Linked DNA regions of Callithrix jacchus. The main gene of each other region encodes a partner of the protein of the gene in region 3 in a complex. Links are inferred from orthologs where the notes say so. Each region holds a gene or a part of one and is shown on either strand. Other genes may lie near its edges.

Region 1 (3,031 bases), on a different chromosome or scaffold from region 3:
ACCAGAAAGTAAATAAATTTATACTCTATACTAGAGACAATGTGAAGGGCTAGAAGAGGGAAAATGAATCCCAATGTAAAAAACTAGATCTTGGCCGGGCACGGTAGCTCCTGCCTGTAATCCCAGCACTTTGGGAGGCCAAGGCAGGCAGATCCCCTGATGTCAGGAGTTCAAGACCAGCCTGACCAACATGGAGAAACCCCATCTCTACAAAAAGATAAAATAATAAAAATAAAATAAGATCTTGCAGTAAATTATTAAAGGCTTGCAACAAAAAGTGGAGAATAAAAAAGTTATGGGTGGCCAGGAGCTCACATCTGTAATCCCAGCACTTTGGGAGGTCATGATGGGTGGATCACCTGAGGTCAGGAGTTCGAGACCAGCCTCGCCAACATGATGAAACCCCGTCTCTACTAAAAATACAAACAAAAATAAAAATTAGCCGGGCGTGGTGGCACCCGCCTGTAGTCCCAGCTACTCGGGAGGCTGAGGCAGGAGAACCTCTGGTTTTTTTTTTTCGAAACGAGTTTCGTGACTGTTGCCCAGGCTGGAGTGCAATGGTGCGATCTCGGCTCACCTCCACCTCCACCTCCCGGGTTCAAGCAATTCTCCTGCCTCAGCCTCCCAAATAACTAGGATTACAGGCATGCGCCACCACACCCGGCTGATTTTGTATTTTTAGTAGAGACGGGGTTTCACCATGTTGGTCAGGCTGGTCTTGATCTCCCGACTTCAGGTAATCCGCCCGCCTCGGCCTCGCAAAGTGCTGGATTACAGACTTAAGCCACCTCTTCTAATCTACCTTTCCGGGCCCCGAGTCGCTACTCTGCCCTAAGGCCCACTCTGATCCACCCTAAAACGCTGGTTTTCACTAGAGCAGGATGTGTTTTCTACCAACCTTCGTTTCGCAAGCCTCAGCTTCTAGGCAACCCTAAGAAAGGAGAAGGCCGACCTCGGAGAGAGGGTCCGCAAGCTGATGCCTCCCTGCCCCCCACCCTTTTCGGAAATCAGCCCGTGGAGTCGGCCCCCGCGCCCTCAAGCCCCCTTACCTTGCCGCCGTTAGTGAACTTGTGGATGTACGCAGTAGACAGTCCTGGAATAAGCAAGCACACGCCCATGGCGGCGAGTCCGGGGAGTATCTCGAACCACATCTCTGCCCGGTTACCTAGACCAAAACCCTACTTCTGAGTCCTTGAAAGGTGACGGATCTCCGGCTCTCTTCCCAGTAAGCCCCGCGGCCGCCAGCGAGCGGGGCGGTGCCACGTACGGCTCCGGAGGAAGCGACGGAATCCTCCAGGGCTCAAGAGAGGCTAGCGTTCGCGTTCTCGCAGTCTTCTTCCGCCACAGTCTTTTGCTTTGACTAGCGGCGGAGCGCGCAACGTGGAGTGACGCGCGGAGGCCAAGTGCTACCCAGGCAGCCACGGCCGTTTCGGAGCTCGGGACTCTAAAATGGCCGAGCAGCTTTCTCCAGGAAAAACGGCGGATCAGGTGTGCACCTTCCTTTTCAAAAAGCCTGGGCGGAAAGGGGCTGCTGGACGCAGAAAGCGCCCGGCCTGCGACCCAGAGCCTGGAGAAAGCAGCAGCAGTAGCGACGAAGGCTGCACTGTGATTCGACCGGAAAAGAAGCGGACGACCCACAATCCAATGATACAGAAGACCCGTGACAGTGGTAGACAGAAGGCGGCTTACGGCAACTTGAGCAGCGAGGAGGAGGTGGAAAATGAGCCCGAGAGTCTCGGCGTGGTTTATAAATCCACCCGCTCGGCGAAACCCGTGGGACCAGAGGATATGGGGGCAACAGCCGTCTATGAGCTGGACACAGAGAAAGAGCGCGATGCACAAGCCATCTTTGAGCGCAGCCAGAAGATCCAGGAGGAGCTGAGGGGCAAGGAGGATGACAAGATCTATCGGGGAATCAACAATTATCAGAAATACATGAAGCCCAAGGATACGTCTATGGGCAATGCCTCTTCCGGGATGGTGAGGAAGGGCCCCATCCGAGCGCCCGAGCATCTACGTGCCACCGTGCGCTGGGATTACCAGCCCGACATCTGTAAGGACTACAAAGAGACTGGCTTCTGCGGCTTCGGAGACAGCTGCAAATTCCTCCATGACCGTTCAGATTACAAGCATGGGTGGCAGATCGAACGTGAGCTTGATGAGGGTCGCTATGGTGTCTATGAGGATGAAAACTATGAAGTGGGAAGCGATGATGAGGAAATACCATTCAAATGTTTCATCTGTCGCCAGAGCTTCCAAAACCCAGTTGTCACCAAGTGCAGGCATTATTTCTGCGAGAGATGTGCACTGCAGCATTTCCGTACCACCCCGCGCTGCTTTGTCTGTGACCAGCAGACCTACGGCGTCTTCAATCCAGCGAAAGAATTGATTGCTAAACTAGAGAAGCATCGTGCTACAGGAGAGGGTGGTGCTTCCAACTTCCCAGAAGACCCCGATGAGGATCCAATTCCCATTACTTAGGCTTCCCATAATTCTTAAATTTAAAAAATAAATATTTTGTTCTTTTGGAAGTCTTAATTCGTGTCCTTTTAGAGAAAGTGACAGAAGGCGGGTGGTGAAGTAGGGTCCTGGATTAAAAGCTTCAAGGTAGGTATAATCGGGATTTTTAGCCCTAGAACACTTTGGCATAAATTATAGAGATGGGAGTAGTTTGAGAAAAGAGCTAGAATTTGCTCGAAGTAGCCAAAGCTATGATGAAAGCAAGAACTCTGAGCCTGTTTATTATATCACATTTCTGTATCACGTAATGTTTACCAGGTACTTTCATGCATTCTTTCTCTTAGGAGCCTGTACTACAAAATATATCAGAGCCAAGGTGTGAGGGAGAGGGGTTGGGTTTGGGCGATTGGTAGCTAGTACCACAGACTTCACGTATGGAAAATGTTCCTTGCTGTCTTGGAAGCAGCAATAGTTAACCCCCCTTCTATGGATGATAAAAGTGATCTGTGCTCTGCTATCCAGTGTGATAGACAGACACTAGCCTCATGTGGCTGTTGACCACTTGAAATGT
Region 2 (3,981 bases), on a different chromosome or scaffold from region 3:
TATGACTTGCTGCCCCCTAAGTGGCCCAACCACTTGGCCAGGACCCTCTGTCCATGGATGACCCTACCATCCTGCCATGGCAATCCCTCTGCCAGGGTATGCTACCTGTGTTTGCCTGGCCAGCCCCTTTTGCCATGGTCCTCTACCTGTACATGCCGTCCAACTTCTCTGTACTATGTTCCCAAGGCCCAAAAAACCCAAACATAGTGCTCCTCTGCACCTGTGAGCCACCAAGGTCCTCTGGTCCTGTGGACTAACTGTGCTGTTTAGCTCTGGGGTTGCATGCCAGCTGCCCAGCCCGTCTCCTACCAGCTGCTACTACCAGTATGAGCCGCCAACACCCTCTCCCACCAAGTGCTACTGCTCAGCAGAATGAAGAATATACAGGTCTCCTATTCATTCTTGCTCCTCATCAGCCTGTGATTCTCAGCCTCCAGGTAGAGACTGGCTTCGCTCACTAACCTTACACTCATTGAGAAACAAAGAAAGCAAACTACAACCTATACCTTCTATTTTTTACCCCACTTCTGTGTTTTGCCCCAATCCTATGATGCCACACAGGTTAGGGCCAGAAGGGCCCTGTGACCATCAGTTACCCCTAGTTTGCAAGAGCCAAGGAGGTGGACCAACACGGTACCTTCCTGAGGGTTCCAATCTGTTCTAGTCTAGGCCCAGGCTGAACAAGCCTCAGTCAAAGACAACAGAAATAGACCTGAATTCCCAAGATGGCCGCCTAAATTAACCAACTTTTTGGATTTCCCACAGGAGAACATTCTAGAACCATGTCCTGGGACTGATCCAGACTAAAGCAGAATCTCCAACCCTCCCCATGCAGGGATGCCATTCAGCCTAGAGTGAAAATAAGTGGTTTTTGTGATGCCACAAAATGCATTATAGAAACAAAGTACTCTGTCGACTCAGGAGGCAGGAAATGAACAGGGACTTACTGTGAGAACACACAGATGATGTCTCCTTCAGTCAGTTCATAAGGAAGCCCTCCTAGAAGAGAAAACCACATTTCAGTTCACCCAACATTTACCAAGAGTTTACTACGTACCATGCACTAGGCCAGGCACTAGGGGTGCAAACAGTAAGCAATAGGCCCTGTCCTTAAAGAAATCAAGTCTGGGCCGGCCACGGTGGCTCATGCCTGTAATCCCAGCACTTTGGGAGGCTGAGGTGGGCAGAGCACCTGAGGTCAGGAGTTCAAGACCAGCCTGGCCAACATGGCAAAACCCCGTCTCTACTAAAAATACAAAAAAAATTATCCAGGCAAGGTGGCAGGCACCTATAATCCCAGCTACTCAGAAGGCTGAAGCAGGAGACTCACTTGAACCCAGGAGAAAGAGGCTGTAGTGAGCCAAGATAGCATCATTGCACTCCAGCCTGGGCAACAAGAGTGAAACTCCAACTTAAAAAAAAAAATCAAGTCTGATGCAATGACAGAAGTACATGTAAGGTGCCAGTAGTACAGGAAAAGGAGTGATTAACTTTGAGTGGAAGTCAGAGTCACCACTAACTAAACTAATCTGATCACTCAGTCCTCCTGGCACCCCAAATACTATGGACAAAGCAGATAGTTTCCATCACAAACCTCTGCTTCCACAAACATGCTGAATTCATCTGCTCATTATCCACAAATTTACAGCTATGATACAAAATCAGTCTACATATGTCATGGTTAATCCCACCTAAATATAGACAAACGTTATAAAGACACTGTTAAGCATTTCCTAGGAAATAATTTCCCCTCCAAATGTTTCTTTCCTCATCTGTAAGATGAGGATATTAGCACATAACTCACAGGATTGTTATAAGAATTAAATAAAACGACGCATATAAAGTGCTTAGCACAATGTTTGGTACAATAACCTCTTTGAAACGTCAAACTGTACAATTACTGGTTGTGACACAAAGTGAATACAGGAGTGGTAATGTGGCCATGGACAGAAGACAGCAGCTAATTAGAGGAGAAAAGTGAATTCAGGAAGGGAAGGGGAATGAGAGAGGGTGGTGGTAGCAATGTGGGTGTGTAGCTAAGACCATGATTTCTAGAATACTATAGTTCTGCTTGTTGTGCTTACTAGCTATGTGACCTTAATGAATTCCCTTAACTTCTCTGCACCCCAATTTCCTCAGCTGTATAATGGGTCAGGGGTGAGAGAAATAACAACAGTCCCTGAGCCTTAGCACAGCAAATGGCAAACAGTAACTCTCATGATTTGGCAGGGAAAGAAAACTAAAAATAGGGGAGAAAAGAGATGGAACATGGATTCCCGGGCAGACAGCAGATGGATATAAAGGTGGGCGATGAATGTAGGCAGGAGTGAAGGGTCGGAACGCTGAAATCGTCGGAAACCGAGTAGGAGAATCTTGGGAGCACTGCGGGAGAAAGATGTGCACCTCACCCAGGAAGATCCAGGCGCTGTCCTTGTACTCGGAGTGCCAGGACACCTTATCGGCCACCCCAAGCTGGACCTCTCGTTCATTCAGCTCGTTGATCAGCTTCACCTTAGTTAAAGGGCTGCAAGGTGGGGGGATGTGGAGGGAGGAGGAAAGCAGACAAGTAAGTGCGACTGGGCAGGAGCTGAGAGAGAGCAAAACTAGGGGACGAACTGTTCTAGTCACAGAGCCTCTCCCGCCTCTGTACACCGCAGACTCTCTACCACCCCAGCCCCAGCGGACCACCCCCGGCGACTCGCTGCTCCTTCCTCAAAAGGAAGCTAACGCCTTACTTCATCTCCGCTAGCTCGCGCTCAGCATTCAGGTATCGGCGCCCGGATGAGGCAGCGCGGCGCATGCGCGACCCCGGCTCCGGTTGCCGGTTGAGTCGTTGACCTCGCGCCGGAAGAGCTAGGGCGTACCGAGGTCGTGGCGCCTGCGCACTAGCAGCCTTCCGTGCCCTGTGCGATTACTTCTGGAAGAGATGATTTTCTCTAGTTTTTCGATTTTTCTTTTCTGTGAAATGGAGTAAAGGAACGAGCCTGGGTTGTTGCAGGACCCCCAGCACTTGAACGGTGTCTAAAGCTGGTTAGATTAGCTATAAATATTTTCTGAGTGAACGGAACAAGCAGTCTGATGTGGCAACTTCAGTCTCAGCCCCCGCTCTCAGTCCAGAGTCCCACTTGGACCTTCGCTCCTGGTCAGTTGCTCACACACAGCCCCATCAAAGCGTCCCTGTCATGGCAGAAAAGTGAAGAAGATAAGCGAAAGGGTAAATCTTCTGTTGTTCTTATCCCAAAACACAGGCAACATACCAGTGTGCCTCTAGAGGCTGAAGTGAATGCCTACAGATTTGCACGAGAGCCACTGCACTCACTCTTTTCCATCGACTCTCCTAGTTGAGGAGGAGGCAGAAATTAATATTGTTAAATTAATAGCTAACAATTGAACAGATGACATACTATACGATGCAAGAGTATGTGCTAGGCAGTTTACATGTATTGTCTCTCCACCCTCACAACAACCCAATGAAGCAGATAAAATTACAATCCCCTGGTCAGGCACAGTAGCTCATGCCTGTAATCCCAGCACTTTGGGAGGCCAAAGCAGGAGTATTGCTTGAACTCAGGAGTTCAAAACCAGCCTGGGCCACATAGCAAGACCCTGTCTCGAAAATAAAGGGGAAAAAGGGGGGCCAGTCATGGTGGCTCATGCCTGTCAACTCAGCACTTTGGGAGGCTGGGGTGGGCGGATTACCTGAGGTCAGGAGTTCAAGACCAGCCCAGCCAACATGGTGAAACTCTGTCTCTATTAAAAATAGAAAAATTAGCCAAACATGGTGGCACATGCTTGTAATCCCAGATACTCAGGAGGCTGAGTCAGGAGAATGACTTAACCCTGAGAGGCAGTAGCCAAGATCACACCACTGCACTCCAGCCTGATGATAGAGCGAGACTCCATTCAAAAAGAAAAGAAAGAAAAAGAAATTTCTACCCTTATTTTGTAGAGGAAGAAATGAGGCTCAAAGGAATTAATTAA
Region 3 (3,500 bases):
TCAAAACTACTTCACTCATGCTGGGGATCTCTGTGCTATGAAAAAATAAATAAAAATAGGCTGGGTACTGTGGCTCAAGCCTATAATCCCAGCACTTTGGGAAGCCAAGGCAGGCAATCACTGAGGCCAGGAGTTTGAGACCAGCTTGGCCAACTTGGTGAAACCCCATATCTACTAAAAATACAAAAATTAGCTGGACATGGTTGTGCACACCTGTAATCTGGGCTACTCTGGAGGCTGAGGCACCAGATCCCTTGAACCTGGAAAGCAGAGGTTGCAGCGAGCCGAGATCATGCCACTGCCCTCCTACCTGGGCGACTGAGTGAGAGACTGTCTCAAAAAACAAAACAAAATTAAAAATAAAACCATTTCACCCAGTACTCCGTACCGTGCAGGATTCTTGGGAAAGTTAGTTCCGTCCTTCATTAAATGAGCCAGGAGAAGTACAGTGGCTTATTCCTATAATCTCATTGCTTTGGGAGGTCAAGGAGCGGGGCCAGGAGTTTGAGACCAGCCTGGGCAACGTAGCAAGACCTCATATCCACAAAAACTGAAAAAATTAGCACAGCATGCTAGTGCGTGCCTGCAGTCCTGGCTACTCAGGAGGCTGAAACAGGAGGATCACTTGAGCCCAGGAGTTTGAAGCTGCAGTAAACCATGATCTCGCCACTGCAGTCCAGCCTAGGTGACGATGTGAGATCCTGTACCCCGAAAAAAATTGGTTATACAACAAGAGCCAAGAGAATGAACAAGAGAGTCATTATAAGAGACAGATACTGGAAAGTTTCCGAGAGTACCAAATTGGAGGCATTCATGTGAGAAGAGAGGCCATTCTCTAAATCAGATGAAATCCACTTAATCGTTTTTTTGCTCCACTCCCTACCCCTAATATTGTAACCTCCTTTGCCCATATGCAGTAGTTACCGTGTGCTTCTCTTTTGTTTAGGGACCTCCAAGGTGTTCCTCCCTTCAAGCCCCAATCATGCTGCTCTCTGGACACGAAGGGGAAGTATACTGCTGCAAGTTCCACCCCAACGGATCCACCTTAGCATCTGCAGGATTTGACCGACTGATATGTGAGGCATAGTTTTAAAATCTGGAATAATTTCTTCTGCCAGATAGTGATTTTTTTAAATTTTTGGGTACCACAGAAGGTGTCAGTCTATTAGCAGCATAACAGGCTGCATGACTAATATGCTAAAATTGGGTCATGAATATGCTGATCTTGGATGTAGAACTCGGGGTCCATGGGGCAAATACAGAAGGAGTTATTTTACTAGTTGGAAAGTGAATCGTTCTGGTTCGAGAATATCTTCCTTATAGAGGCAAATCTCCGGTTGATTTGCCAAGACACTTAGCAATCTAGACGTAACAGGTTAACGGGAGTAATGAGGAGATAAATACCTTTTCTTTTCCCAAAGGTATAAGGTCCTCTTAATTCACACCCAGAATCCTAGCTAGCATATAGGAAAGTAGGAATCCTAAAGTGGTAACTCCCTTAAATTATCTACCTGTGCATCATTAGGATCTGCTACTAGATTTCCATTTTTGAGAAATAGTAGAATTTGTCAATGCCCATTTTTGAGAAGTAGAAAAAGTTATTTCATTTATATTCCAGCAAATGAAGCCAGAATGAAAAAAGAATCATATACTTCTGTTAGCTACTCTTGCCAGATTATGAGATGAAATGAGTTCTTTGGCTGTTTTCTGTTAACCCTTTGCCTCAGGTGGATGATACCCATCTTCACTGCCCATTTTGATTTGGATATTCTGGCTCTGTGATCCTTAAGTTTACTTGTGGCCAAACGTCTGGATGGCTATAGGATCTTTGCAGAACATACATGAATTATTGATACTCTTTTTTTTTTTTTTTTTTGTAAAAACAAAAAAATTTTTTTCTTTGTTTAAAGATGGGGTTTCACCATGACAGCCAGGCTGGTCTTGAACTCCTGACCTCAGGTGATCCACCCACCTCAGCCCCCCAAAGTGGTAGGATTACAGGCGTGAGCCACCGCGCCAGGCCCGATATTCTTAATTTTGAAACTACATAGTTTTTTTGTTGTTGTTTGGTTGGTTGGTTTTTTGTTTTTTGTTTTTGTTTTGAGATGGAGTCTCACTCCGTCACCCAGGCTGGAGTGCAGTGATGCCATGTAATCTCTGCCTCCTGGGTTCAAGCGATTCTCGTGCCTCAGCCTCCCAAGTAGCTGGGATTACAGGTACCCACCACCACACCTGGCTAATTTTTATACTTTAGTATAGATGGGGTTTCACCATGTTGACCAGGCTGGTCTCCAGCTCCTGACCTCCAGTGATCCACCCACCTCAGTCTCCCAAAATGCTGGGATTACAGGCAGGAACCACCACGCCCAGCCCGAACTACATAGTTTTATCAGTGGAAAAATAGTGTCATCTGTAGGTACCACTTATGTCTGTGGGCGATCCTTAATAACACTTAGAACAAACTTGACGCTTTGCTAGACCAAGCTCCCTCAGGATAGCAGATGTGTCTGCTCATTTACCCTAGCACCTGACATGTAGGTACTTAGTACATATAGAATTAATAAATGTTATATAAAGTCACTACCATGTGAACTTTAATTATGGCCACCTTATGTTTTCCATTAAGTGCTGTCATTTGGCAGTCTGCTTTCAGACTCGGAGCTAACTTTAAAGGTTGGGTGCTGGCTGGGTGTGGTGGCTCATGCTGGTAATCCTAACACTTTGGGAGGTTGCTTGGGCAACATGGTGAAACCCTATCTCTACTAAATACAAAAAAAAAAATCAGCTGGATATGGTGGCAGCCCCTGTATCTCAGCTACACAGGAGGCTGAGGCATGAGAATTGCTTGAACCCAGGAGGCAGAGGTTGCAGTTAGTGGAGACCGTGTGACTGCACTCCAGCCTGGGCAACAAAGTGAAACTCTTGTCTCAAAAAAAAAAAAAAAAAAAAAGTTGGATGCTTTTTTAAAGTTACAGGAGAAAAAAAATAAGGTTTTAAAAAATTATATCTGTTAGGTTTTTTTTACCTTATAAAAATATTGCCATTATTTTTAGTGTCAAGAAAATTGGTCTACTGTTAAAACCAGTAGTGTTCCAAAGAGTATAATTTGAGATTTTTTTTTTTTTTTGAGGCAGAGTCTTACTCTGTCACCCAGACTAGAATGCAGTGGCAGTATCTCCAGCTCACTGCAACCTCTGCCTCCCAGGTTCAAGCAATTCTTCTGCCTCAGCCTCCCGAGTAGCTGGGATTACAGGTACCTGCTGCCATGCCTGGCTAATTTTTGTATTTTTAGTAGAGATGGGGTTTCGCTATGTCAGCCTGATCTCAAGCTCCTGACCTCAAGTGGTCCACCCATCTCGGCCTCACAGAGTGCTGGGATTACAGCCATGAGCCACTGCGCTGGGCCTGAGAACTGTTGTTCTGATAAATTCGTAAGTATCCTTTGCCTAGTAATGCTCATAAAACCCCTGTCTCCCTAACAGTGTTATGGAATGTCTATG
Region 4 (2,563 bases), on a different chromosome or scaffold from region 3:
TCTTGGCTCACTGCAACCTCCATCACCTGGATTCAAGTGATTCTCCTGCCTCAGCCTCTGGAGTAGCTGGAATTACAGGTGCTTGCCACCATGCCCGGCTAATTTTCTGTATTTTTAGTAGAGATAAGGTTTCACCATCTTGACCAGGATGGTCTCAATCTCTTGACCTTGTGATCTGCCCACCTCAGCTTCCCAAAGTGCTGGGATTGCAGGCGTGCGCCACCGTGCCCAGCCGAATTTTGTGATTTTTAAATAAAGTTTGGGAAATGGCACTTTGTAATTCTACTTGAAGAATAGTAAGTTTTTTTTTTTTTTTTTTTGAGACGGAGTTTCACTCTTGTTACCCAGGGTGGAGTGCAATGGCGCGATCTCGGCTCACCGCAACCTCCGCTTCCTGGGTTCAGGCAATTCTCCTGCCTCAGCCTCCTGAGTAGCTGGGATTACAGGCACGCACCACCATGCCCAACTAATTTTTTGTATTTTTAGTAGAGATGGGGTTTCACCATGTTGACCAGGATGGTCTCGATCTCTTGACCTCGTGATCCACCCGCTTCGGCCTCCCAAAGTGCTGGGATTACAGGCTTGAGCCACCACACCCGGCCCAATAACAGTATATTTTAAGTATATTTTAAAAATGAGGTCAGGAGTTTGAGACCAGCCTGACCAAAATGGAGAAACCCCATCTCTATTAAAAATACAAAATTAGCTGGGCATGGTGGCACATAGCTGTAATCCCAGCAACTTGGGAGGCTGAGGCAGGAGAATTGCTTGAACCCAGGAGGCGGAGGTTGCGAAGAGCTGAGATTGCGCTGTTGTACTCCAGCCTGGGCAATAAGAGCAAAACTCTGTCTCAAAAAAAAAAAACCTAAAAATGTTTATGCTAGCCTTTCTCAAATTCATGATTCTAAAATCCTTTGTAGGCAGAACTTATTAATATCTTGAGAAATAGAGTCATACAGTTTAAGAAGCACAGTTTTAAGCGGTTGGGAGTCATAGGAGAGTTGGCCCTTTCAGCCTTACTGCTTTTACAGACTGTTCTTCTCTACCTAGACCAGAAGCCCCTGGTCCCTCTGTCTCCCTTTCCCCTATGCCACCCTCAGAGGTCGAACTCCAAAGTGGGAAGATCAGTAGGGAACCTGAGCCTGGGGCTGGCCCACAGGCCGAGGAGTCAGCAACTGTCTCAGCCCCTGCACCTGTGAGCCCCACAAGAAGACGAGCCCTGAACCATTATCTCACCCTTCGAAGGTGAGTGTGCCCAATCAGTTTCCTCAGATTTTCTTTTCTCTCTGACCGTCTATTTTTCAAAGGTATTCAATTTAATTTTTCTTATTTTTGGTCTTTTTTTTTTTTTGAGACGGAGTTTCGCTGTTGTTACCCAGACTGGAGTGCAATGGCACGATCTCGGCTCACTGCAACCTCCACCTCCTGGGTTCAGGCAATTCTCCTGCCTCAGCCTCCCGAGTAGCTGGGATTACAGGCGCGCACCACCATGCCCAGCTAATTTTTGTATTTTTAGTAGGGACGGGGTTTCACCATGTTGACCAGGATGGTCTCGATCTCTTGACCTCGTGATCCACCCGTCTCAGCCTCCCAAAGTGCTGGGATTATAGGCATGAGCCACCGCACCCGGCCTAGTCTTTTTTTTTTTTTTTACTTCTATTTTTGTTTTTTATCTTTGGTTCCATTTTGTTTTAGCCACCCAACTTACATGACTCTCAATTTTTTTCTCACCACTAACTATTTTGCTAGAGACAGGGTTTCACCATGTTGGTCAGGCTGGTCGAACTCCTGACCTCAGGTGAGCCACCCACCTCAGCCCCCCAAAGTGCTGGGATTACAGGTGTGAGCTCACCACTGACTTCTTAATGAGCCTCTTTCCTGATCAATGCCATTTTCTCTGATCTTTTCAGCTCTGGATGGATCCCAGATGGAAGAGGTCGATGGGTAAAAGATGAAAATGTTGAGTTTGACTCTGATGAGGAGGAACCACCTGATTACCCCTTGGACTGACAGCCTTTTCCCATTCATTCACAAATAAACTGCAGGGGGTGCTGAGAACTTAACTTTCCTGAAGTCTGGTTTCTTGTCGGATCTCAGGATTTCAGATCTGTTCATTCTCATTCTGGCTATTGCTTTCCTGCAATGTACACAGCTCTCCATACTTCTAACCCCTCCCCCATCTTCTACCAAAGCCATGCCAGGCGTCAGCTGCGTCAGCCCGGTGCCCTATTAATAAGACTGTCTAAAAGAGGTCTTTGCCCTTCATGTTGTCTGCCTCCTTCTCCACTACCATTTAAAGTCCTTTCCCCTTCAAATCACATGAAGACTGTGGGTAGGCACCGGGGGCACCTGGCCACATCTGGAAACAGGGCTGAGGCTAAGTACCCTGAGAATGTAGAAGAGTCTAAAGGCATTGGCAAGGTTATGGGGAACACCAAGGGAGGGAGCTCCCCCACCTCCTACTGGTAACCTGAACTTCCCTGCCTGATGATCCCCAGAGTATAAATAATCCCCTGGTGAATTGGCAGTAACCCTTGGGGGTTAGCGCCAAGATTCCCACCGA
Region 5 (2,245 bases), on a different chromosome or scaffold from region 3:
AACTAAACATTTTGATATAAAATTAGAAATAATAAGAGTTCAACAAAATAACTGTAAATGTGAAACTTAACTATTTAACTTTCTATTAAGAACTTCTTTTTCCCTGTTTATTAGTACAAAATTTTAAAAAAATTATTATTCATTGGCCAGATGTGGTGGCTCATACCTATAATCCCAGTACTTTGGGAGGCCAAGGCGGGAGGATCACTTGAGGGCAGAAGTTCAAGACCAGCTTGGGCAATATAGCAAAATTGTTTTGAAGTAGCCAGGCTTGGTGGCACATGCTTTCTATCATAGCTACTCAGGAGGTTGACGTGGGAGGAGCCTAGGAGTTCGAGGTTTTGGTCAGCTATGATTGTGCTACTGCACTCCAGCCTGGGCAACAGAGTGAGACCCTGTTTCTTAAAAGGCAAGAAAAGAAGAAAATTCTTACTTAATTACCTGCTTTGGATGTTGCCTAATATGAAAGTATTTGGCATGTTAGCCATAGCTTTTGTAACCCATTTGGACACCTCAGTATGATTTATAATGTTGACTCTGAGAAAACAACATTTGGTGCTTTAGAATGAATTTTCAGAAAACTTTTTAATCACAATTTATTCATAAATTAGAGACTGCTTCCACACAGTTTTGATATCTGAAATATTACGTAACCTGGGAGATTCAGAAACTTATGTTGAAACAAGCTTTATTATATATTTGTTCTACATCCATGAATGTTAATTTTACTGAAGGTTTATATGAAACCAAAAGTCCTACAGTAGTAATAGAAAGCTCATCTTCTGTTTATTAATTATAGATAGATTTGAGTTGTTGGTGTAGAAAGGTATCAGTTAATAAGTTCTCTCACAGTATTAGCTGTATTGTAATATTTTCCTCCTGTGTGATTATACTAATATATTTCTTTTTATTGAAAGCTTGCAAATACAGAAGAATACATAGATGGAGCATTGTCTGGACATCTGGGTGAAGTTTTAATAAGGTAAAAAACAGCAGTGGTATATGTAAGGAGTTACTGGTGAGCATTAGGAATACCTGTTTTAAATATATTAGAGCCTCAATTTTGGAGTTACTTATTTTTAAAAAATCACTATTAACTTATAATACTTTACAATTGGACTTCAGAAGTCTTTGAAATTGCTAAACTTGTCAAAGATAAGTTTTAAAATGCTTTAGAACTGGCCAAAAGATTTTTCTAGTGTTGATGTTAAATTTTCTGGCTCTTAGCTATATAACCTTTTTCAGTGGCCTTCATTGGAGGCACTTAGTTTTGAATTTTAGTTGGGTCTGGCTGTTTGTAAGAATTTTTGTACTAGCTTCAAAGCTCCAAATTCTGATAATTATTTCCCTTGGAAAATTATAAAGATATCATTTTATAACAACCATATGGTTGAAAATCAGTGCCATGTGCTTTTCAACTTATCTATGTAAAACGTTTTTTAAAAACAAATATATATTTTTTGAAAGACAGGAATATTATAAATATAGCATTCAGTATTTTCATAATAAAAAATATAGTAATTCAGATCATACATGGATTCTGGTTGAAACAACAAAATGGACTTTTTCTATTTACAGGTGTAATAATGTCCTTTATATCAGAGGTGTGGAAGAAGAGGAAGAAGATGGGGAAATGAGAGAATAGCATATTTTGTGGGGGATTTTTTTTTTTTCCTGACCCCAGCCCCTGGGATTTTTTTTTATATATATATATTTCTAGACAATAAAGATTTGTTTGTTCTTGACTTGTGAACTATTTGTATTCAGATATTTACCAGCAAAGCCCAAATGCTGAACCAATTGGGAAAGATTACTCACAAAACTAATGCTTTAAAAGTCACTGAATTTTATTTAAGTTGCTTTTTTTTATAAGCTTGATACTCTTTTTTTTTTCTATAAAGGATAGTTATTTATATGCTTTAGATATTTTTATGAAGGTGAATTTCAGACCTTTTCTTGTAAAATTATATCTTAGCTGAGACCTTTTAAATGCAACTTTTAAAGTTATTTTTGAGCCACTTTTAACATGTATAAAATTAAACATGTTTTTGGTATTAATGTACTGTCTTATTTTACTTAGTAAAATTACATGTTACTTCTGTGTCAGTATAAGCTAAATGCACATATTGTAGCTAAAATTGAAACATCTAAAAATTAAAATGATTGTGCAGACAAGGCACAACGGAAATTGGGAACCGACATTTAGGCTGAAGGCATATGGTTTGTTTACTAAGGAGAAAAAAGT
Region 6 (3,500 bases), on a different chromosome or scaffold from region 3:
CTTAGCTTATTCACAGAGTTTATTTATTCCACAGTTTTCATTGGTCAACTTAAGAGTTAAAGAGTTAAAAATCAAATGGGGCGGGGCACGGTGGCTCACACCTGTAATTCCAGCACTTTGGAAGGCCAAGGCAGGTGGATTACAAGATCAAGAGATTGAGACCATCCTGACCAACATGGTGAAACCCCATCTCTACTAAAAACACAAAAATTAGCATGGCGTGGTGGCATGCACCTGTAGTCCCAGCTACTTGGGAGGCTGAGGCAGAAGAATCACTTGAACCCGGGAGGCAGAGGTTGTAGTGAGCCAGGATTGCCCCACTGCACTCTAGCCTGGTGACAGAGCGAAACTGTCTCAAAAAGAAAAAAAAAAAATAGAATCTCTTTCTGTTTTGAGATATGGTTCTTGGGGAAAATATTTGCCTTCAAATGAGTTGGCAGAACTTGTCTAGGATTGAGAATAGAGGTGGAGAATGCATTCCTCATATATTAACATTTCCCTGGATCCACTTTAATTTTTTTTTTTTTTGAGATGGAGTTTCGTTCTTGTTGCCCAAGCTGGAGTGCAAGGGCATGATCTCGACTCACTGCAACCTCCACCTCGCTGGTTCAAGCAATTCCCCTGCCTTAGCCTCCTGAGTAGCTGAGATTACAGGGGTTCATCACCACGCACAACTCATTTTTACTTTTTTTTTTTTTTTGAGACGGATTCTCACTCTGTCTCCCAGGCTGGAGTGCAGTGTTGTAATCTTGGCTCACTACAACCTCTGCCTCCTGGGTTTAAGCATTTCTCCTGCCTCAGCCTCCTGAGTAGCTGCAATTACAGGCACATGCCACTATGCCCAGCTAATTTTTGTATTTTTAGTAGAGATGGTTTCACAGTATTGGTCAGGCTGGTCTTGAACTCCTAACCTTGTGATCCACCTGCCTTGACCTCCCAGTGTGCTGGTATTACAGGCATGAGCCACCACACTCGGCCTCATTTTTATTATTTTTAGTGGATACGAGGTTTCACCATGTTGGTCAGGCTGTTCTCGAGCTCCTGACCTTAAATGACCCACCTCGGCCTCCCAGAGTGCTGGGATTGCCACCACACCTGGCCTACTGTAGTCTTTTCTTATTATCTAACTTGTCTCTTTTTTTTTTCAGGTGTAGTATTGAGTCCTGTTTGAGCTATTGTACTCTTTTTCCTCAAAAATGGCATTGTCTAAGAGGGAGCTGGATGAGCTGAAACCATGGATAGAGAAGACAGTGAAGAGGGTGCTGGGTTTCTCAGAGCCTACAGTGGTCACAGCAGCATTGAACTGTGTGGGGAAGGGCATGGACAAGAAAAAGGCGGCTGGTATGTACCTTTCTGCAGCTTTTGTCTTAACTTACAGGGTGATCCCAAACACTGCTTTGAACTTCCCCAAAATTCTCTCTGTTGGGAACGTCTAAAAAAAGGGCAGGCCACATTTTATTTTCATTTGTATTTTACTGCAAGTAGCCTAAATAATAATTTTGCTTTTTCTCTTATTGCTTATTTTTTATGTTATTTGTGATATATTTTAAATCTTCCTTTGGCTACCATACTGAGTCACCCAAGTTAGATTTACTTAGGAAGTATGCTAAAGTCAGATAGGCATGTTCAGTTATTCAGATTGACATCTCAACATATAAAAGTCTTTATGAAATACGTGAAAAAGCTTGAAGGAGGCAGATTTTGTTAATGGTAGTCTCCTACAGCTTGCTATTTGGGAAAGGTTAGGGTGGTTATTCATCTCTTTTTTTTTTTTAATATATATATTTTATATGTTTTTTAAGATGGGGTTTCACCATGATGGACAGGCTGGTCTTGAACTCCTGACCTCAGGTGATCCACCCACCTCAGCCTCCCAAGGTGCTAGGATTACAGGCGTGAGCCACCACGCCTGGCGATTATTCATCTTAAACTTGATGTTCAACCTAAATAGGTTATTCTGACTGACTTCCCACTCTAAAAAATTATAAGTATTTTCACCTCAAAGGGCAAGGTCATTCACTGTAAGAGAGATGGGAATCCTGCAAAGAACTTAAAATTTGTTTCACTCCTAGGAGTGAAATTCCAGTGTTGGTACCTGTTCTAGGCCTAGTATTAGTGTATATACTCTTATCTTTCCAATCCTACCACCGCCTTTTTTCCTGTCAGATCATCTGAAACCTTTTCTTGATGATTCTACTCTGCGATTTGTGGACAAACTGTTTGAGGCTGTGGAGGAAGGCCGAAGCTCTAGGCATTCCAAGTCTAGCAGTGACAGGAGCAGAAAACGAGAGCTAAAGGTAGGTTACAATTTACTATCTAATGAGCTCAGGACTGTTTTGAATGGTAACAGAGTTGCTGAGCTTGCCAGTTCACACTTTGATGTCCACGATTTAGAGCACCAAATGTTCAAGAGAGGTACTTAGACGTTAAAGTAGAAGAGGTGAATTGTGTCATCATCATATTATGATAATGAACTACCCAAGTTCATGGGTTGAAATATCCAAAGAAATAATTGGTAGCTTTGTCTTTTTTTAGATAACAGGAGTTTTGGTTTTAATCTTTCTCCATATTTCCTTTTTTTTTTTTCCCCTTCTTACTACTACCTATAAACTAATTGTTCTAAGATTTTATGTTTGATTTGAGGCCTATAAGTTGTTTTAGAATGTGACTCCACTGGTACCTGAGCTGTAGACCTCACTGATGTCTCTTTGTAGAGGTTTCTCTGCAATGCACTTGTAGATAGGATACCAAAAAGTAACTATTATTTATTATATTCTTGAGAGCTTACCATTTGCTACACGGCATATTGCTGGTCACCTGGTGCCATGAGTGAAACACTTGAAAGAGTTGTCAGTGCCTCCTTAACTACTACACTTCTTATTCTATATTTGCTGACTAATCCTGGCCTCTTTCAATATTAGCAGTGTCAAGTAGCCTATCTTTCTACTCATTTCCCAGTATCTCTCTTTATTAAAAAAAATTCTGCGACTCCTATGAAATCTTCCAAAGTTCTTTTGATACCTTGGCTATCCCATTGCTTTTGAATAAGCAATGTCTGATTGGTCCCCTGGGCAGTCTATGGAACAAGAAAAACCAGAGAGATGTGTGCCTTTTGTGTTTAGAGTATTGTAGGGTGATCAGAGAAGGAGAGAGAGTCCTGCATTAAAATAATTTGTAATTTGCCAGGCACTGTGGCATGTGCCTGTAATCCCAGCTACTTGGGAAGCTGAGGCAAGAGGATCTCTTAAGCCCAGGAGCTGTAATTTGATAGAGCAGAGATACCACAAAATATAGTATATAGACCCGTATTATAAAATCTGAGTAGCAGTTTTATGTAAATTTTAGGGTTGGCTATAGAATTTCAGACTTAATTTGAATTTTGTTATATTTAAGGGGGAATGATTGATCCATAGTATACACAGATATATACAGTGATGATTATGTCACAATAGGGCATACTTTCTTTTTCTTTTTGAGATGAAGTCTTGCTCTGTCACCCA
Region 7 (3,500 bases), on a different chromosome or scaffold from region 3:
ACTCCAGCCAGGGAGACAGAGCAAGACTCTGTCTCAAAACAAAACAAAACCAAAGAAAAAGAAAAGATCCTCATATCTCTGACCACCACTACAGGGTAAGAAAAAGTTGCTGTGATACCTGTGGCAGGGCACAAGGATGACAGAGTTAAGGGGCCATGAGCACATGATTACCTGTGAACTCGCCAAAGAACTTTTTGCAGACCAGCCTGAGCAGGGGGCGGATGTTCAGTTTCAGCTCCTCCTTTGTCAGGTGGATGCCAAGCTCGTCCAGGGTCCGCGGGAGGCTGGTGTCCACATCACCTACAACCTGTGAGGATACAAAACACCATGTCAGCTGTAGTGAGAGCCTGAGTGTGGTGTTAGAAGGAGACAAAGGAAGGCCAAAGGAATATCTGAAAAACTACTGCACAAGGCTCTCTTCTATGGAGAGAAAGCTCTTGGCAAGGACAAAAGTTTGGTTTCAGCGGCATCTCTGCTACCTACCCTTGAAACCATAGGCAAAGCCAATTTGGTTACATCCCCATCCCAGCCAATAAACCAAGCACTCAGACTGACTACACCAAGTGCTGCCCCCTGGTGTCTAAAAAGTAGCATCTCATCCCATTCAGGAACTCCCTCACTTACTAAATAGAAGTCTATCTGAGATTTCTCAGATTTGGAGGATCACTGTGCATTGGAAGGAACTAAAAAAGTCCTCTGGCTGTGGATCCTGTCAGGGCAGGGCCAAGCTAAATCATTCTCAGCAGACTCAAGGTCTCTACTGAGGCCGGCTCTATAAATTTTTTTTATTAATCCAATCCAGTCTGACATGTGATACCAAGTATTTTTCAGCACGAATAAATTTTAATCTCTTTATCTTGTTGCTAGGTTTTGCTGTTTTGTCCACTGTGCTTATTAAACACCTGTATATTTTATTACTGTCTTGGGAGAAAGGTCTGTATGAAAATTCCTGTAATTTTTACCCTTTTAGTCCTATATACTTTTAGGCAATACAAATTCATATAAATGTCATGTTATGTTCTTCTTTTTTGAGACAGGGTCTCACTCTGTCATTCAAGCTGTAGTGCAATGGTGTGATCATGACTCACTGCAACCCCCGCCTCCCAGACTCAAGTGATTCTCCTGCCTCAGCCCCTCAAGTAGCTGGGACTACAGGCACATACCACCACACCGGCTAATTCTATTTTGTGTGGAGATATAGGGTTTAGCCATGTTGTCCAGGCGGGTCTTGAACTCCTGATCTCAAGTGATCTGCCCACCGGGACCTCCCAAAGTGCTGGGACTGCAAGTGTGAGTGAGCCACCACATCTGGTCACGTTATATTCTTTGCCTCACAGCATTCTGCGTGCTTAACTAAATCCTTACCATTTCCTGACAAATTATTTCAATCTGACAAACATCACATATTGTACAAACACACGAACACAGTTTTTTTTTTTCCTGAGAAAGGTTTTCCCTCTGTCACTCAGGATGGAATGCAGTGGTGTGATCATGGATCACCGCAGCGTTGACCTCCAGGGTTCAAGCGATCGTTTGGCCTCAGCCTCCTGAGTAGCTGGGACCACAGGTACACACCACCACTCCCAACTCTTTTTTTTTTTTTTTTTGAGACGGAGTCTTGCTTGTTCACCCAGGCTGTAGTACAGGGGCACGATCTCAGCTCACTGTAGCCTCTGCCTCCCAAGTAGCTGGGATTCCAGGCATGAGCCACCACGCCTGGCTAATTTTTCTGTTTTCAGTAGGGATGGGGGTCTTGCCACACTGGCCAGATTGGTCTTGAACTCCTGACCTCAGATGATCCACCTGCTTCAGACTCCCAAAGTACTGGGACTACAGGCATGAGCCACTGAGCCTGGACTGATGTTTATTGTCAGTAGAGAGAAGTTCTCACTATGTTGCCCGGGTTGGTCTTGAGCTCCTGGGCTCAAGTGATCCTCCAGCCTCAGCCTCCCAAAGTGTCTGGATTACAGGCCTGAGCCACTGTGCCCAGTTCAAACATGCATTTAGTGGCTGCAAAGTACTTCATTTTATGGGATGTACCATCATTCATTTAATCAGATTAATGAGCATAATTAACTGACAAACATTTAACTTATTTCCAGTTTTCTTCTTTTCCTGCTCTTACAAACAATGCTATAAACTGGGGTGGTGGACTCCTGCCTGTAATCCCAGCTTTTTGGGAGGCAGAGGCAGGAGGATCACTTGAGGCCAGAAGTTTGAGACCAGCTTGGGCATCATGGTGAGACCTATCTCTACAAAAAATTTTTAAAAAGTTAGCCAGGCATGGTAGCTTGCACCTGCTGCCCTGGCTTCTCAGGAGGCTGGGGTGGGAGGATTGCTCAAACCTAGGAGTCTGAAGTGGCAGTGAGCTATGATAGTGCTATTGCACTCCAGCCTGGATGACAGAGCAGGATTCTATCTCTAAAAGACAAAAACAAACAACCAAAAATGCTGTAAAAAACACTTTGATTTATATAAATAACAAGGTCTTTCACAATTATAACTGTAAGTTAAATTCCCATAACTGAGGGCTGGGCATGGTGGCTCATGCCTGCAATCCCAGCACTTTGGGAGGCAGAGGTGGGCGGATCACCTGAGGTTGGGAGTTCAAGACCAGCCTAGCCAACATGGTGAAACCCCATCACTACTAAAAACACAAGAATTAGCTGGGTGTGGTGGCAGGTGCCAGTAATCCCAGCTACTCAGAAGGCTGAGGCAGGAGAATCACTTGAACCCAGGAGACAGAGGTTGCAGTGGGCCGAAATTGAGTCATTGCACTCCAGCCTAGGGGAGAAGAGGAAGACTTCGTCTTAAAAAAAAAAAAAACCCGTAACTGAAATGATTAATTCTAAGCGTCACATTGTTCTCAACAGTCAAGATCTGTTCACAAACCTGCTCTAGGAGAAGACTTTTCTTTTCTTTTTAGAGACAGAGTCTCACTCTGTTGCCAGGCTGGAGTGTGGAGTGCAGTAGCATGATCTTGGCTCACTGCAACCTCCACCTCCTTGGTTCAAGAGACTCTCCTGCCTCAGCCTCCCAAATAGCTGGGACTACAGGCACGCACAACCATACCCAGCTAATTTTTGTATTTTTAGTAGAGATGGGGTTTCACAATGTTGGCCAGGATGGTCTCAATCTCTTGACCTCATGAGGTGCTCGATTCGGCCTCCCAAAGTGCTGGGATTACAGGCATGAGTCACTGTGCCTGGCCTAGGAGAAGCCTTTTCTTTTATACCTTCTCCCTTTGATTTTTTTTTCCCTTTTTTTTGGAGATACAGGTCTTGCCCTGTTGCCCAGGCTGGAGTGCAGTGGTGCAATCTCAGCTCACTGCAACCTCCACCTCCCAGGTTCAAGCAATTCTCTTCCCTCAGCCTCCTGAATAGCTGGGACTACAGGCACCCGCCACCACACCCAGCTAACTTTCTGTATTTTAGTAGAGATGGGGTTTCACCATGTTGCCCAGGCTGGTCTCAAACTCCTGAGCTCAGGCAATTTGCCCA

What was found.
Region 1: SNRNP40 (region 3) and RNF113A share a complex: the UniProt entries of both Homo sapiens proteins name them as parts of the pre-catalytic and catalytic spliceosome complex. The link is inferred for Callithrix jacchus from reciprocal best matches to the Homo sapiens genes SNRNP40 and RNF113A.
Region 2: SNRNP40 (region 3) and RBMX2 share a complex: the UniProt entries of both Homo sapiens proteins name them as parts of the minor spliceosome. The link is inferred for Callithrix jacchus from reciprocal best matches to the Homo sapiens genes SNRNP40 and RBMX2.
Region 4: SNRNP40 (region 3) and SCNM1 share a complex: the UniProt entries of both Homo sapiens proteins name them as parts of the minor spliceosome. The link is inferred for Callithrix jacchus from reciprocal best matches to the Homo sapiens genes SNRNP40 and SCNM1.
Region 5: SNRNP40 (region 3) and SNRPF share a complex: the UniProt entries of both Homo sapiens proteins name them as parts of the U4/U6-U5 tri-snRNP complex. The link is inferred for Callithrix jacchus from reciprocal best matches to the Homo sapiens genes SNRNP40 and SNRPF.
Region 6: SNRNP40 (region 3) and PRPF3 share a complex: the UniProt entries of both Homo sapiens proteins name them as parts of the U4/U6-U5 tri-snRNP complex. The link is inferred for Callithrix jacchus from reciprocal best matches to the Homo sapiens genes SNRNP40 and PRPF3.
Region 7: SNRNP40 (region 3) and EFTUD2 share a complex: the UniProt entries of both Homo sapiens proteins name them as parts of the minor spliceosome. The link is inferred for Callithrix jacchus from reciprocal best matches to the Homo sapiens genes SNRNP40 and EFTUD2.

Annotation. Positions count from the first base shown.
Region 1 is NC_133524.1:115,851,741-115,854,771, reverse strand, and holds RNF113A (E3 ubiquitin-protein ligase RNF113A), read left to right. Parts: upstream 1-1,348; 5' UTR 1,349-1,449; coding exon 1,450-2,481; 3' UTR 2,482-2,531; downstream 2,532-3,031. Other genes in the region: NDUFA1 (NADH dehydrogenase [ubiquinone] 1 alpha subcomplex subunit 1), read right to left, coding at 1,050-1,151. UniProt on the Homo sapiens protein: Required for pre-mRNA splicing as component of the spliceosome. As a component of the minor spliceosome, involved in the splicing of U12-type introns in pre-mRNAs. E3 ubiquitin-protein ligase that catalyzes the transfer of ubiquitin onto target proteins.
Region 2 is NC_133524.1:126,043,655-126,047,635, reverse strand, and holds the start of RBMX2 (RNA-binding motif protein, X-linked 2), read right to left. Parts: upstream 2,801-3,981; coding exon 2,736-2,800; intron 2,525-2,735; coding exon 2,409-2,524; intron 1,000-2,408; coding exon 948-999; intron 1-947. UniProt on the Homo sapiens protein: Involved in pre-mRNA splicing as component of the activated spliceosome. As a component of the minor spliceosome, involved in the splicing of U12-type introns in pre-mRNAs.
Region 3 is NC_133508.1:67,927,181-67,930,680, reverse strand, and holds part of SNRNP40 (U5 small nuclear ribonucleoprotein 40 kDa protein), read left to right. Parts: intron 1-946; coding exon 947-1,076; intron 1,077-3,482; coding exon 3,483-3,500. UniProt on the Homo sapiens protein: Required for pre-mRNA splicing as component of the activated spliceosome. Component of the U5 small nuclear ribonucleoprotein (snRNP) complex and the U4/U6-U5 tri-snRNP complex, building blocks of the spliceosome.
Region 4 is NC_133519.1:11,063,243-11,065,805, forward strand, and holds the end of SCNM1 (sodium channel modifier 1), read left to right. Parts: intron 1-1,050; coding exon 1,051-1,245; intron 1,246-1,910; coding exon 1,911-2,010; 3' UTR 2,011-2,063; downstream 2,064-2,563. UniProt on the Homo sapiens protein: As a component of the minor spliceosome, involved in the splicing of U12-type introns in pre-mRNAs. Plays a role in the regulation of primary cilia length and Hedgehog signaling.
Region 5 is NC_133510.1:98,945,661-98,947,905, forward strand, and holds the end of SNRPF (small nuclear ribonucleoprotein F), read left to right. Parts: intron 1-917; coding exon 918-982; intron 983-1,578; coding exon 1,579-1,645; 3' UTR 1,646-1,745; downstream 1,746-2,245. UniProt on the Homo sapiens protein: Plays a role in pre-mRNA splicing as a core component of the spliceosomal U1, U2, U4 and U5 small nuclear ribonucleoproteins (snRNPs), the building blocks of the spliceosome.
Region 6 is NC_133519.1:10,250,063-10,253,562, forward strand, and holds part of PRPF3 (U4/U6 small nuclear ribonucleoprotein Prp3), read left to right. Parts: intron 1-1,148; 5' UTR 1,149-1,196; coding exon 1,197-1,341; intron 1,342-2,166; coding exon 2,167-2,297; intron 2,298-3,500. UniProt on the Homo sapiens protein: Plays a role in pre-mRNA splicing as component of the U4/U6-U5 tri-snRNP complex that is involved in spliceosome assembly, and as component of the precatalytic spliceosome (spliceosome B complex).
Region 7 is NC_133506.1:85,275,255-85,278,754, forward strand, and holds part of EFTUD2 (116 kDa U5 small nuclear ribonucleoprotein component), read right to left. Parts: intron 308-3,500; coding exon 172-307; intron 1-171. UniProt on the Homo sapiens protein: Required for pre-mRNA splicing as component of the spliceosome, including pre-catalytic, catalytic and post-catalytic spliceosomal complexes. Component of the U5 snRNP and the U4/U6-U5 tri-snRNP complex, a building block of the spliceosome.